Linked DNA regions of Macaca mulatta. The protein of the gene in region 1 purifies or fractionates together with the protein of each later gene. This does not show direct contact. Links are inferred from orthologs where the notes say so. Each region holds a gene or a part of one and is shown in the gene's direction. Other genes may lie near its edges.

What was found.
Region 2: the proteins of ASXL2 (region 1) and OGT purify together in Homo sapiens (affinity purification with mass spectrometry; 3 studies listed by BioGRID and IntAct, with this or other methods). This does not show direct contact. The link is inferred for Macaca mulatta from reciprocal best matches to the Homo sapiens genes ASXL2 and OGT.

What each region holds. Positions count from the first base shown.
Region 1 is NC_133418.1:99,117,267-99,124,478, forward strand, and holds the start of ASXL2 (putative Polycomb group protein ASXL2), read left to right. Parts: upstream 1-3,158; 5' UTR 3,159-3,399; coding exon 3,400-3,456; intron 3,457-7,212.
Region 2 is NC_133426.1:78,035,718-78,042,367, forward strand, and holds part of OGT (UDP-N-acetylglucosamine--peptide N-acetylglucosaminyltransferase 110 kDa subunit), read left to right. Parts: intron 1-2,854; coding exon 2,855-2,934; intron 2,935-3,500; coding exon 3,501-3,696; intron 3,697-4,258; coding exon 4,259-4,399; intron 4,400-4,989; coding exon 4,990-5,090; intron 5,091-5,261; coding exon 5,262-5,415; intron 5,416-5,504; coding exon 5,505-5,606; intron 5,607-5,802; coding exon 5,803-5,982; intron 5,983-6,650. UniProt on the Homo sapiens protein: Catalyzes the transfer of a single N-acetylglucosamine from UDP-GlcNAc to a serine or threonine residue in cytoplasmic and nuclear proteins resulting in their modification with a beta-linked N-acetylglucosamine (O-GlcNAc).

The sequences.
Region 1 (7,212 bases):
CAACATAAAGCATTCGAAGGGGTTGGGGCTGAATATCTGTAGCCTAAAAATTCTTGATTTCATTTTCTGCAGTACACTAAGCTAAAGTTGTCAAAGCAGGTCATTCACTTTACCACAAAAGAGTCAGACCTTTATTCGTAGATGTAAAGCATTGTTACACTTAGTAGGGCAGAGGAGTGGGTGGAAGCTGTGAAAGTAGAGATGGTGAGTGTTGGCCACACGTTCAAGATATTTATGGGCAAGAAAGACAGGAAAAGTAATTTGGTAAGGTAGGGTGGTAGGGTAAAGAGACTTCTTTAAGCTGGAAGTGTCTCGAATATGCTTGTAGAAGGAGGTGGAGGGGTATCAGAACTAGAAAATAATGAAAAAAATGGAACAACATTCCAAGAAAGATGAGAAGGGATAGTGTCCTGTATACAGTACATTAAAGGAGGGATTAGGCTATGGTAAGGAGGAGGCGGCGGTTAGAATGCGCGAACTTATGGGTAAATTTAGGGATTGAAGGCAAGGTGAGAATGCAACTGGTGGCCAATAATTTTTACATGATACATGAAGCAATGTTATTAGTTAAATGAAGAGGCAAAAGTAGAGGTAGGGGTATTCAGGGGAGTGGCAAATGCTGATGGAAGTAACCAGAGATAAATCAAAGGATAACTAAGTTGATTATAGAAACTATATCTGTAAAGCTAAGAAACTGTGACTCAATCAAGAACTAGGGAGGATATCTTAGTAGGGTAGTGGGTGGAGTTTTAAGAAGATAGATTTGGCATTCCCTGTAGGATGGGCTTGAGTAGGGTGAGAATAGAAACAGAATATCTAAGGAAATCCAGAAGGAGGGTGGGGATGATGAGAGAGATGCAAATACACATAACAAATTCAATCAATAGACATGGGGACAAAATACTTTCTGGGGAATTATACTTGTATAATAATAATAAACTATCTGTATCTGTGGAAGATTAAGAAGTAGGAACCACAACATTACAATCCCTACCTTTGAAATTAAAACCTGGGGATAGAGCTCCTGAAATCCAAAGTAAGGACAGTTGGATTATCTGGCCTAGGAGGGTCTGAAAACCAGTTGGGGCTCCAGGACCAAACAACAGGACTGGGTGGTAAGCTGTACTCAACTCAACAGTCAGGGATGGAGAAGACCTTCTTTTCTCTTTTCTTTCTTTCTTTTTTTTTTTTTGCGACTGAGCCTTGCTCTATTGCTCAGGCTGCAGTGTAATGGCACAATCACTGCAACCTCTGTCCCCCAGGTTCAAGTGATTCTCCTGCCTCAGCCTCCCGAGTAGCTGGGATTACAGGCGCATGCCACTGTGCCCAGCTAATTTTTGTATTTTTAGTAGAGATGAGGTTTCTCCATGTTGGCCAGGCTGGTCTTGAACTCCTGGCCTCAAGTGATCTGACTGCCTTGGCCTCCCAAAATGCTGGGATTACAGGCGTGAGCCACTACACTTGGCGAGAAGGCCTTCTTAGACTACAGAGATAAGCTTTGGAGGGAGGTGGTACATGCTACCTGTGTAATGGATAGGGCTATGAATTATCAAAGACATTTCAGAAAATATATCCATATCAATTGCTGAAATTGGCTGTTTGATCCATGACTGAAGGGAAATATAAGGAAGCATCTAGATACTTCTAGATGGCCTCTCAAACTCCCTATCTTTTTCTTTTTTTTTTTTGGCACAACATATCCTTTTTTTTTTTTTTTGAGATGGAGTCTCGCTGTGTCACCCAGGCTGGAGTGCAGTGGCCAGATCTCAGCTCACTGCAAGCTCCGCCTCCTGGGTTTACGCCATTCTCCTGTCTCAGCCTCCCGAGTAGCTGGGACTACAGGCGCCCGCCACCTCGCCCGGCTAGTTTTTTGTATTTTTAGTAGAGACGGGGTTTCACCGTATTAGCCAGGATGGTCTCGATGTCCTGACCTTGTGATCCGCCCGTCTCGGCCTCCCAAAGTGCTGGGATTACAGGCTTGAGCCACCGCGCCCGGCCAACAGATCCTTTTTGAAAAATAGAGGAAAAGTTATGAATCCTCTTCTCAAAAAATTCACATATAACACACAAAATATAGTTCATAGTTTTAGGGAGTCCATGAACTTCTGAAATGCATCCATAAACTTTAAGCAGTGCTCTCATCTGTCTTTCCTCCCAAGAGGCAATCCAATCCTCAGTCCTATTTCACACTATAGTAAATTTACTAGATTGTTTGGAAGCAGCTTCTGGAAGCAGGTGGATTGGTGAGATCAGCAGGTGTTACCACATGCTTCTTACTTTGCAAAGTATCAAGGCGTAGATGATGTAAGAGAAGATGCCACATTCTGGATCTTTCAGAAGGCTGTTATGGATACTACAAATAATGGTCTCTGACCACAGAAATGTCTGAATCATTCAGCAAATATTTACTGGGCGCCTGATAGGTACAGGCACTATGCTAGGGACTGAGCTCATCGAAATAAAGACGACACCATTTCTGTCACTGATGAGTAGCTTCACATGTAAAAGCGTGGATGCAGTTACCAGGGGCCTTAAAAACAGTCACCTAAGTTTGAGGCTTTCTGGGGAGATGGAAAGGGCTCTGAGCTGGCAATTTGATATTTGGTGTCTCTACATCCCAGACTTGTGAGTTTGGCAAGTCACTCAATCTCAGTTGCTTCGCCTATCGAATGGGGTTAATAGGTAGATGAGAATTGTTGCCTATCTTCAAAAAGATAACCTTTGTAAAAATGCAAATAAATGAGAAAACACAAACGCAGAGCTTATCTAAAGTGATAGTTGGCAGAGTCACCCACTGAGGTAAGAGGTCAGTTCCCCAGGTCTACACAGCCCATGCAGCGCCTCGCACGAGGCGGGATCAGTTCAATAAGCTTTCCCGGATGGAACAAGTTCCGCTTCCGCAGGCAGATACTCGCTGTAGGTGTGAGCGTCGGCCGTCAGACGCCAGCTACTGCCGGGGCCTCCCTCGCGCGCATGCTCCTGCGGAGAGGCGGAGACCGGAAGGGTGGGGGCGTGACGAGGTATCGCAGACTGCCGGCTCGCTCGCTCAGCGGCCCGGCTTGGGAGGCGGGGGCGCGCCCGCGCTCGTTCGCGCGGCCGGCTGCGTACAGTAGTGACGGCCGCGCGGGAGCGGTCACATGACCGTAGCGGCAGCCTGTACAGTAAGAACCCAATATGGCAGCGGCGGTAGCAGTGGCAACGGCAGCAGGAGGACCGGCCGCCCCATAGACCCCCCCGCGCACCACCCCGCCGCTTCCTCTGCTTGGGTGCCCCCCCGGCCTGACTTCCCTTTTCTCCCACCTTTCCCGGCACCGCGGGAAAAGCAGCGCAGGGCAGAGCAGGCAGGGAGGGCGGCCGGAGCCCGGACACGGGAACCTCCCAGTCAGTTCAAGACCCGACATGAGGGAAAAGGGACGTAGGAAGAAGGGCAGGACCTGGGCGGAGGCCGCCAAGACGGTAAGGGGGAGGGAACGAAGGGGAAGGCCGGGAGGATTTCGTTCCCTTGTCGTCCGCCAGTCGCAGGGGAAGGGAGGTCACTGGCCCAGAGACCCGGCTGAGGGGGCACAAAACCGCGCGGAGAGGGCGGCGGTTAGTGTCGGGGTTGCGATCCCTGTGGGAATGGAGGCGCCCGGCGGAACGCGATAGCTGCGGGGCCGTGGCTTCTCTCGGCGTCTGCGGCGAGTCCTCAGTGTTTTGAGGCTGTCTCTTGGGGTCACGTCGCTATCACCTCTGCTCTGTGGTAGCCCCCGCCCCGTCACGGGGAAGTCTGTGGTGCTTGCACGGTAACCGGTTCTTCTCCCTTGTGCGGCTGGAGAGCCCCCATTGGATGCAGATAGAAGGCTTGTGCGTGCATCCAGCCCCGGAAAGGAGAGGGGAGCGCTGGAGCTGGATAGAATTTACCCGTTACAGCGGACATGCCTATGACCCCGGGCCCCCTGCTTGTCTGGCTCCCGGAGCAGACGTGAGATCACGAGGCTTTTGTTTTTGTTTGGTGTTGGAGCCGAAAGTGCAGGAGGTGTTTAGAAACGAAGTAACAGGTGGGACTTGTAGAATTTTTTTTTTTTTTCCTGTTTCCGTAGAGACCTACTCCGAACAAGGCAGCAATGCATGGTGGGACGTGTAGTTTACCCGGCCTTCACTTTTCCCTAGCCAAAGTGATGGTGGCCTAATGAAGTTGTAATTAGTGGGCAAAACAATTTTTCCCCCTAATTCTGTTATGACGAAATGTAGAGGTAGGTTTTAAAAAGTGGACTATTGAGGATTAGTGAGAACTTTTACCATATTTTAAGAAGAAAAATTTAAAAGCATGTTGTATGCAGAAATGAAATGGTAGGAGATAGTGAAGTTCATTCCATCGTTGAGGATGCAGCAGAAAAGTAATAGGGCATTAAACAGCATTTTAATAGTGGAAAGTGAGAGGTGTTCACCCCTTTAATGGTGAATCATGCCAGTAATACTTCGACAACATAGCCCTTCTTAGTGAACCCTTATGTCATATGGTTTATTTTTTAATGAGGTTTTTTAAATATGAAAGTAATGTTACTGTGGGGAAATTTGGAAAATTATAAAAAAGAAAATTAAAAAAAAATCACATTTATTTCACCCCTCGTCTGTATCTGCTAACATTTGGTATATTACCATCTAGTCTCTTTTATTTATTTCCTCAAATCTAGGTCATACTGTTTATTCAGTCTTGTGCATTTGTTTGTAAACTTTGCGCATTTGTTTTGTAAACTTTATGCATTAGGAGGTTGATGAGTCTTCAATTTTTATTTCTCTTAGTTGGAAATGTAAAAAAGTTAAGAAATAATAGCACATTTTACTTTTCTGGGTGTTTTCACTTACAATATATCTTGGTATATCTTCCTGTGCTAGAAGTTTCTCTCTAAAAGATAAGACTCCTATACTTTTTTTTGATGGTGTAGAGGTTGCTTCCCCACAGAGGACTATTTTACTCTCTACTTGGTGGATACCTGAAGACCTCTTTCTGTTAATAAAAGAAGCATGATGAATTTTAATTATAGGTAAGCAGACCTGGACCCTAATTTATGCTAATTAATTTTAAGTTCCTAGGATCTTTAAATTTTTTTTTTTTATTAAAAATATTTTGTAGGCCGGGCGCGGTGGCTCAAGCCTGTAATCCCAGCACTTTGGGAGGCCGAGATGGGCGGATCACGAGGTCAGGAGATCGAGACCATCCTGGCTAACACGGTGAAACCCCGTCTCTACTAAAAATTACAAAAAAAAACTAGCCGGGCGAGGTGGCGGGTGCCTGTAGTCCCAGCTACTCGGGAGGCTGAGGCAGGAGAATGGCGTGAACCCGGGAGGCGGAGCTTGCAGTGAGCCGAGATCGCACCACTGCACTGCAGCCTGGGTGACAGAGCAAGACTCCGTCTCAAAAAAAAAAAAAATATATATATATATATATATATATTTTGTAGAGACATGGTCTTGCTCTGTTGCCCAGGCTAGGCTAGTCTTGAACTCCTGGGCTCAAGCAGTCCTCCTGCCTTGGCCTCTCAGAGCACTAATATTAGAGAAGTTTCTAGACTCTTTAGAGTGTTTTTTGCATTATGATTCCTTTGATAAAATAGTCATTGGGAGATTGTGACAAATAGGAAAAATTAGTCTGCAACTACTTACCTTTTCCTATGTTAGTATATTTGCTCATTTCATGCTCTAGCTAGCTATGTGAAAAATAGTATTTAAAAGATGGAAAGACTACTTTGATTAGTAGAGTTCCTGAGGGGACCAGTATATTAGTAGCTTGGTATTTTTCTTTGATTCTGGCAAATACATAAAGCCCCAGTCTCAGTGAAAATGTGTTTTAGAAAGAGAATGATGACACTAAAGTTTTTCTTTTTCTAATAGCCAAAATCTAGAAAACGTTCTTAGTTTTGGAGGGTTATTTTATTACCTATAAGTGAGGGAATTAAACTAAATCTCGGTGTTCAAAATATTTATGTTTTTAGGATAAATAGATGAAAATAAAAGAAGGACTAGGCAAAGGTACATTTGTAATATTTCAGACTGCAGAATAATGAAATCAGAAAATTAGTGAGTTGACAAACGAAAGTAACTTTGACCTAAATAAGAATGCTAGTATTTAGATACAAAGGAATAGGAAAAGAGGTTTTAAGGCTTAAACTTATTTCTTACGCATTAGGATGTCAAGTGTTTGAGGAACAGTTTCATCAAGGAAGCAAGGGTCTCTTATTTCATGTGTTTTTGGTACCTCCATTGTAGAGCTATCATGTTTTAGAGAGTACTATTAAAATAGGGTTGTTTTCCTGACCAATAATATAGCAATAGATATATTCAACACAAAATGTCAGTATGTGATACTGGGATGATATGGGGTGTGTGTATATATGTGGAAGTGCTGCATGGTTTGATGTAAGGTTAGTATAAACTAAACAAAATAGTAAGATTCATAATAATAATTATTATTATAATTTTATTTCTTTATTTAGAATGGGTTTTGCTGTATTGCCCAGGCTGGAGTGCAATGGCTTCACAGGTGTGATTGTGGTGCGCTAAAGCCTTGAACTTCTGGGCTCAAGTGATCATCCTGCCCTAGCTTCCCAAGTAGCTGGGACTACAGGCATGTGCCACTGTGCCTGGCTTCATAATTATTATATAATAGTAGATTATGCCAAAAGGCTGATAAAATAAACTTGAATGTATACACTGGCTCCAGTAACTAAGGATACCAGGGAAAGGTGATGGAGCTGCGATTCAGCTGATCTTGAATGCGTGTTCACTACACTGGACTGCCTCCCTGTTGATCTTAAATTTGTCTTACTTAAATATGCTAGTTATAAAAAGCATTCTAGTATTTAGTTAGCAGTTTCACATGTTTTACTCTTTTTTATTTTGTTTTTGAGACAGGATCTTGCTCTGTCGCCCAAGCTGGAGTGCACTGCCATGATGGCGGCTCATGGCAACCTCAACCAACCCCTCAAGCAATCCTCCTGCCTCAGCCTCCTTAGTGGCTGGGACTGCAGGCATGCGCCACCACTCCCAGCTAATTAAATTTTTTTTTTTTTTTTTTTTTTTTTTTTTTTTTTTTTTTAGAGACAGAGTCTCCCTATGTTGCTCAGGCTGATGTCAAACTCCTGGGCTCAAGTGATCCTCCTGCCTCAGCCTGCCAAAGTGCTGATATTATAGGTGTGGTCCCCCATACTCAGCTGCATGTTTTTAATTTTAAGG
Region 2 (6,650 bases), on another chromosome or scaffold:
ATTGCCCTCCAACCTGGGTGACAGAGCAAGACTCCATCTCAAAAAAAATAAATAAATAAAATAAATAAATAAATAAAGCATTTCTCAGTGACAAAAACGAGATATAATCAGATATTAAGTACCTTATGATAAACAATTTCACTGGTGAAGTAGTCTTGCAAAAAGAGAAAAGAACACAAACCTAATTAAGCTTTTGGTTCTACCTACCAATTTATAGGAGATATACGGGACAGGAAACATGTTAAAGGACGCCATAGGGATGCAGTCTGCAAAATTCAAACTTTGGGAAGCTGACCTTACTTCAACAAATTGTAGTAATAAAAATGGAGATTTAAATTAAACTTTAGGCTGGGTGTGGTGGCTCACCCCTGTAATCCCAGCACTTTGAGAGGCTGAGGCAGGTGGATCACTTGAGATCAGGAGTTTGAGACCAGCCTGGCCAAGATGGTGAAACCCCATCTCTACTAAAAATACAAAAGAAAAAAAAAAGCTGGGTGCCTATAATCCCAGCTACTCAGGAGGCTGAGGCAGGAGAATTGCCTGAACTTGGGAGGAGGAGGTTGCAGTGAGCCAGGATTGTGCCACTGCACTCCAGCCTGGGCGACAGAGTGAGTGACACTCCACCTCCAAAAATAAATAAATAAATAAATAAACTTTTAAAGGATTAAAAGAAAGAGAGGCACATTGACAAATTATATGGGTCTTATTTGGATCCTGACTCGATGAGAAATTGGACCACTGAATGGAATTATTATTATTATTTTTTTGAGACAGGGTCTTACTCTGTCGCCCAGGCTGGAGTGCAGTGGTGTGATCTTGGCTCACTGCAACTTTCACCTCCCGGGCTCAAGGGATTCACTTGCCTCAGCTTCCAGAGTAGGTGGGACTACAGGCATGCGCCATCACGCCCGGCTAACTTTTTGTATTTTTAGTAGAGACGGGGTTTTGCCATGTTGCCCAGGTCTTAAACTCCTGAGCTAAGGCAGTCGGCCTGCCTCGGCCTCCCAAAGTGCTAGGATTACAGGCATGAGCCACTACGCCCAGCCGATATTTAATATGAAGGAATTGCTGTCTTTTTTTGTTTGTTTGTTAAGTATGATAATGGTATTGTGGTTAGGTTGGGAGGAAAAAGCTTCTTGTGTTGTCCCTGAGATACATACTGAAACATTTTCGAATGGAATATGTCTGAGTTTTGCTTCAAAATGATCTGCGAAGAGGGGGAGTAAGTTGGAATATAGATTAAATAAGATCAAACATGATATATGAATTGTTGAAAATGGATAATGGAGACTTGGGTGTTCCTCTATTTTTGTATGTGTTTAGACGTTTCTATTATAAAGTTTAAAAGTTTTTGGAGTGGACATCTATCACTATAGACAATCTAAATTAAATGCATCACACTGTTTACTACAGAGTTGTCATCTAAGTGAAGATGAAGTGTTCTTTATTTTTTTTGAGACAGTCTCACTCTGTTGCCCAGGCTAGAGTGCAGTGGCACGATCTCAGCTCACTGCAGCCTCCGCCTCCCAGGTTCAAGCAGTTCTCCTGCCTCAGCCTCCCGAGTAGCTGGGATTACAGGTGTTAGCCACCATGCCTGGCTAATTTTTTTTTTTTTAGTAGAGACGCGATTTCGCCATGTTGGCCAGGCTGGTCTTGAACCCCGGGCCTCAAGTGATCTGCCCGCCTTGGCCTCCCAAAGTGCTGGGATTACAGGCAAGAGCCAGCGCGCCCAGCAGATGAAGTGTTCTTTATCAATCTTTAATAAACATATTCAGTGTCTTAATCAAATACCTTTTTGGTGTTTTTTTTTTTTTTTCTTTTTTCTTTTTTTTTTGGAGATACAGTCTTGCTCTGTTGCCCAGGCTGGAGTGCAGTGGCATGATCTTGGCCCACTGTAACCTCTGCTTCTCGGGTTCAAGCCATTCTCATGCCTCAGCCTCCCGAGTAGCTGGGACTACAGTTGCACATCACCACACCTGGGTAATTTTTGTGTTTTTAGTAGAGGTGGAGTTTCACCATGTTGGCCAGGCTGGTCTTGAACTCCTGACCTCAAGTGGTCCGCCTGCCTTGGCCTCCCAAAGTGTTGGGATTACAGGTGTGAGCCACTGCACCCGGCTGATGTTTTGATTAAAGTTTACATTTACCATCCTGTAGGAGTATCTTTCTTGATCAGTGGTTCTCTTCCTTGGTTACGCATGAGGAGCTTATAAAAGATCTGGATATCCTGACTCTATCTTCAGAGGGTCTGATTTAACTGGCCTGTGATAGAGCCTAGGTACCTTTTCTAGGAGGTAAATTCTTAATATACTGCCAGGGTTGAGAATCACTGCTCTAGACAACATGACAGCTATTTGAATGACACCGTTTAATGGTTAGTTAGTATTTCCTTGAAGTATTGTATTTTACTGTATATACAGCGCTAATTGCATGTCTTAATAAGGTCTTGCTGAGCATGTAGTTCTATGCATACAACTGAGGTATGTATTTTCCTTTTCAGTAAGAGTTTGCTGCCTCTTTTGCCACTATTTTTTCAGAAGAGTTAAACTGGTGTAATTGTGAATAAAATAGGGCCAATCATTAGAAGTATTCAGTTTAATGAAATTGGAGCAGGCCCATTTTAAATTTTTCTGTTCAGGACCCATTTTGCTCCTGAGAACATGAGGCATGAGAAGTTACTTTGATAATAATGAGGTTTGTAAAAGTAATGAGAAGGCACTAAATAAATCATTGGTTTATTAAAATGAAATGTAATTGAAACTCTGCAAGGACCTTGGAGTAAAAAAACTGTAATTGGGAAGTTGATCTGGTGAAATCCTAACTTGCTGTGAGTAACTAACTGTCCTGAAATTTTTAGGCTGTCACCCTTGACCCAAACTTTCTGGATGCTTATATCAATTTAGGAAATGTCTTGAAAGAGGCACGCATTTTTGACAGGTGAGAGAATGTTCTGTTTAATAAATTTTCTTGAATCTTTGTTGTATTGACACTTGATAGTTTGGACCGAAATGATGACAATAGTCAATTGAAACACATTTGCCTTTTCTAGTACGTTGTTCCCTGCCCATGTCTGCTGTGTTGCCTTTTATTTATAGGTGTTCATTGCCTGAGTTTTTGTTGTTGGCTTTCCTCAAAGCCATTATCCTTCTCATTGGGAGTTCAGTTGAAATTTTTTAATTGTAAAATGGTTGAAGTGGTTTTTTCTTAGACTAAATTATTCCTTTGACCTGATTTAGAAAGCACAGTAAATCCTGACTTTTAACTTTTTGTTGTTGTTGTGAAAGGACAGCCTATTTTTTATGTGGGAGTACAAAATTTCTCACTGTAAAGACACATTTTATAAAGGTATGATTTTGGTTTGAGGTTAAAATATAATACAGCATGAATTATGTAATTACAAAGACTTGATATATTTTGATATAGTACAGCTTGAATGAGTTGTAACAAGCCATCCATTAAGAATGAGTTACATTTTGTGTGTGTGTGTGTGTGTTCATTTACAGAGCTGTGGCAGCTTACCTTCGTGCCCTAAGTTTGAGTCCGAATCATGCAGTGGTGCATGGCAACCTGGCTTGTGTATACTATGAGCAAGGCCTGATAGATCTGGCAATAGACACCTACAGGCGGGCTATCGAACTACAACCACATTTCCCTGATGCTTACTGCAACTTAGCCAATGCTCTCAAAGAGAAGGGCAGTGTAAGGATTTTTACTCATTCTATTTGTTATCTGGTAGGATTAAGAGTCTTTTCTGGCCAGGTGTGGCGGCTCACACTTGTAATGCCAGCACTTTGGGAGGCTGAGATGGGAGGATTGCTTGAGCCTAGGGTTTCGAGACCAGCCTAGGCAACATGACGAAACCCTGTCTCTACAAGAAATACAAAAATTAACTGGGCATGGTGGTGTGCACCTGTAGTCCCAGCTTCTTGGGAGGCCGAGGTGGGAGGATCGATTGAGTCCTGGGAGGTTGAAGCTGCAGTGAGCCGTGATTGTGCCACAGCACTCCAGCCTGGGCAACAGAAGACTCTGTCTCAGAAAATCACAAAAACCGAAAAACAGCAAAAAATGAAAGTCTTTTGTACAAGTATTGAGATGGTATATTGGTTTACTTTAGAGTTTTGGTTGAGGGTAAGAATACCAAAAAATATCAATTTTCTGTAGCATTACCAGCCATTAGGCTTAATTAAGCAATTATTAGAATAGTATCAGTGGAGGCTTTATGATTCTCTACAGTTTTTGAAGACTTTGTTTTGTTTTCTAGGTTGCCGAAGCAGAAGATTGTTATAATACAGCTCTCCGTCTGTGTCCCACCCATGCAGACTCTCTGAATAACCTAGCCAATATCAAACGAGAACAGGGAAACATTGAAGAGGCAGTTCGCTTGTATCGTAAAGCATTAGAAGTATGTGAGGGTGGCGTAGCTGGGTATTTAGCGTGATAGTAGAGGGAAAGCAGTTAAGTTTACCATCATCCACCTCTTTTGTAAAAATAGTGGTTGAATCATTTACAAGAGGATTATTCATTGAAATAGTAATTGAGTACCTAAGGTATGATGTGAGGCCCTATGTGACATTCCAGAAAATCCCTGCATTCAGAGTTCATTATTCTGTGGATAAGATCTGTACAAAACAATTAAACATTAACCCACAGTTCAAGAGAAGTTACTGATAAGTATATAATCTTAGTGCCTGATGGCTGTATGGTAGTGGTTAGTAGATACGGTAGGAGTTTAGCAGAGAGAGATCTCAGTGGTGTTGGAGTCAGGTGGTCAGGATAAACTAAGAGCAGAAGAGGTGTACCTCATTATGTTTGAAACAAGAAGAGGTATAAAATAGAGGAAGAGGTAGAATTTGAGAATGAATAGACTTGGAAAAGGTAGAGACAAGTTTAGGGATGTAAACGTACTTGAGCAAAGTTCTTAAGGTTGTGGTGAATTATTACTGCTGCTTTAGCAGATTTTTTAACCTCAGTTATGATCTTGACTCTTTATAGGTCTTCCCAGAGTTTGCTGCTGCTCATTCAAATTTAGCAAGTGTACTGCAGCAGCAGGGAAAACTGCAGGAAGCTCTGATGCATTATAAGGAGGCTATTCGGTAAGAGACACTAACAGCCTTATTTTTAAAATTATTCTTAATTTTAAAATGTTTGACATTTGGCACATTGCAGATGCTAAAATGGCTTTAAATAACAACAGAATAAGTTAGCATTACAGTGGGTTAAAGATTTTTGTATTGGAGAAATAAAACCTTGGGCTTCTCTTTTAGAATCAGTCCTACCTTTGCTGATGCCTACTCTAATATGGGAAACACTCTAAAGGAGATGCAGGATGTTCAGGGAGCCTTGCAGTGTTATACGCGTGCCATCCAAATTAATCCTGCCTTTGCAGATGCGCATAGCAATCTGGCTTCCATTCATAAGGTACTACTGTTTATTATAATATGTGCAATTTAACACCTAAAATTTAAGTTTTGGAAACTTTTTACCATCCTGCTTTATTTATTTTCCAGGATTCAGGGAATATTCCAGAGGCTATAGCTTCTTACCGCACGGCTCTGAAACTTAAGCCTGATTTTCCTGATGCTTATTGTAACTTGGCTCATTGCCTGCAGGTAAAGAATAAGAGGCCGGTAATTGGCTCTCAGTGTTGTAATAGCTTTTTAATTGTTATGTACCATAAGAATCCAAGCCTGACTGGAAATAGTATTTTTAATAGGCTATCTGACATTACTTTAGGCCAAAGACATACCAAATATTAAATCCTGGGATAGGGCTTTCTGGATAATAACTTCTTTTTGCTTTCTCTAGATTGTCTGTGATTGGACAGACTATGATGAACGAATGAAGAAGTTGGTCAGTATTGTGGCTGACCAGTTAGAGAAGAATAGGTTGCCTTCTGTGCATCCTCATCATAGTATGCTATATCCTCTTTCTCATGGCTTCAGGAAGGCTATTGCTGAGAGGCATGGCAACCTGTGCTTAGATAAGGTGTGATTCTTTTCTTTTAATCTTTTTGTTGTAAACTAAAACACAAATACAGAAAACTGTGCAAATCAAATCTGTGGATTAATGAATGATTATAAAATGAACACCACCCAAATTGAGAAATAAAACTTGTGAGCCACTTCAGAACCCCTTCCATTGTGTCCTGAGTATAACCCCCTGTACTTCCTAAGATGGAATCCTTAACTCCTTCACTTAAACACTAACAATAGACTGATGGTACTGTCCTTTAACTTGAAAGCCATAATTTTTTTTTCTTTTATCTTTTTTTTTCTTTTATCTTTTTTTTTTTTTTTCTTGTTTTTGAGACAGGGTCTTGCTCTGTTGCCCAGGCTGGAGTGCAGCGGTGTGATTATGGCTCACTGCAGCCTCGACCTCCCTGAGCTTAGGTGATCATCCCACCTCAGCCTCCCGAGTAGCTGGGACTACAGGCGCATGCCACCACACCTAATTTTGTATTTTTTGTAGAGATGGGGTTTTGCTATATTGCCCAAGCTGGTCTCGAACCTCTGGGCTCAAGCGATCTGCCCACCTTGCCCTGCCAAAGTGCTGGGATTATGGGTGTGAGCCACCGTGCCTGGCAAGCCATCATGTTTAATGGAGTGCTTGGTATTTTGTATTCACCTTTGAGAATTAGAGCACTACTTGATCAA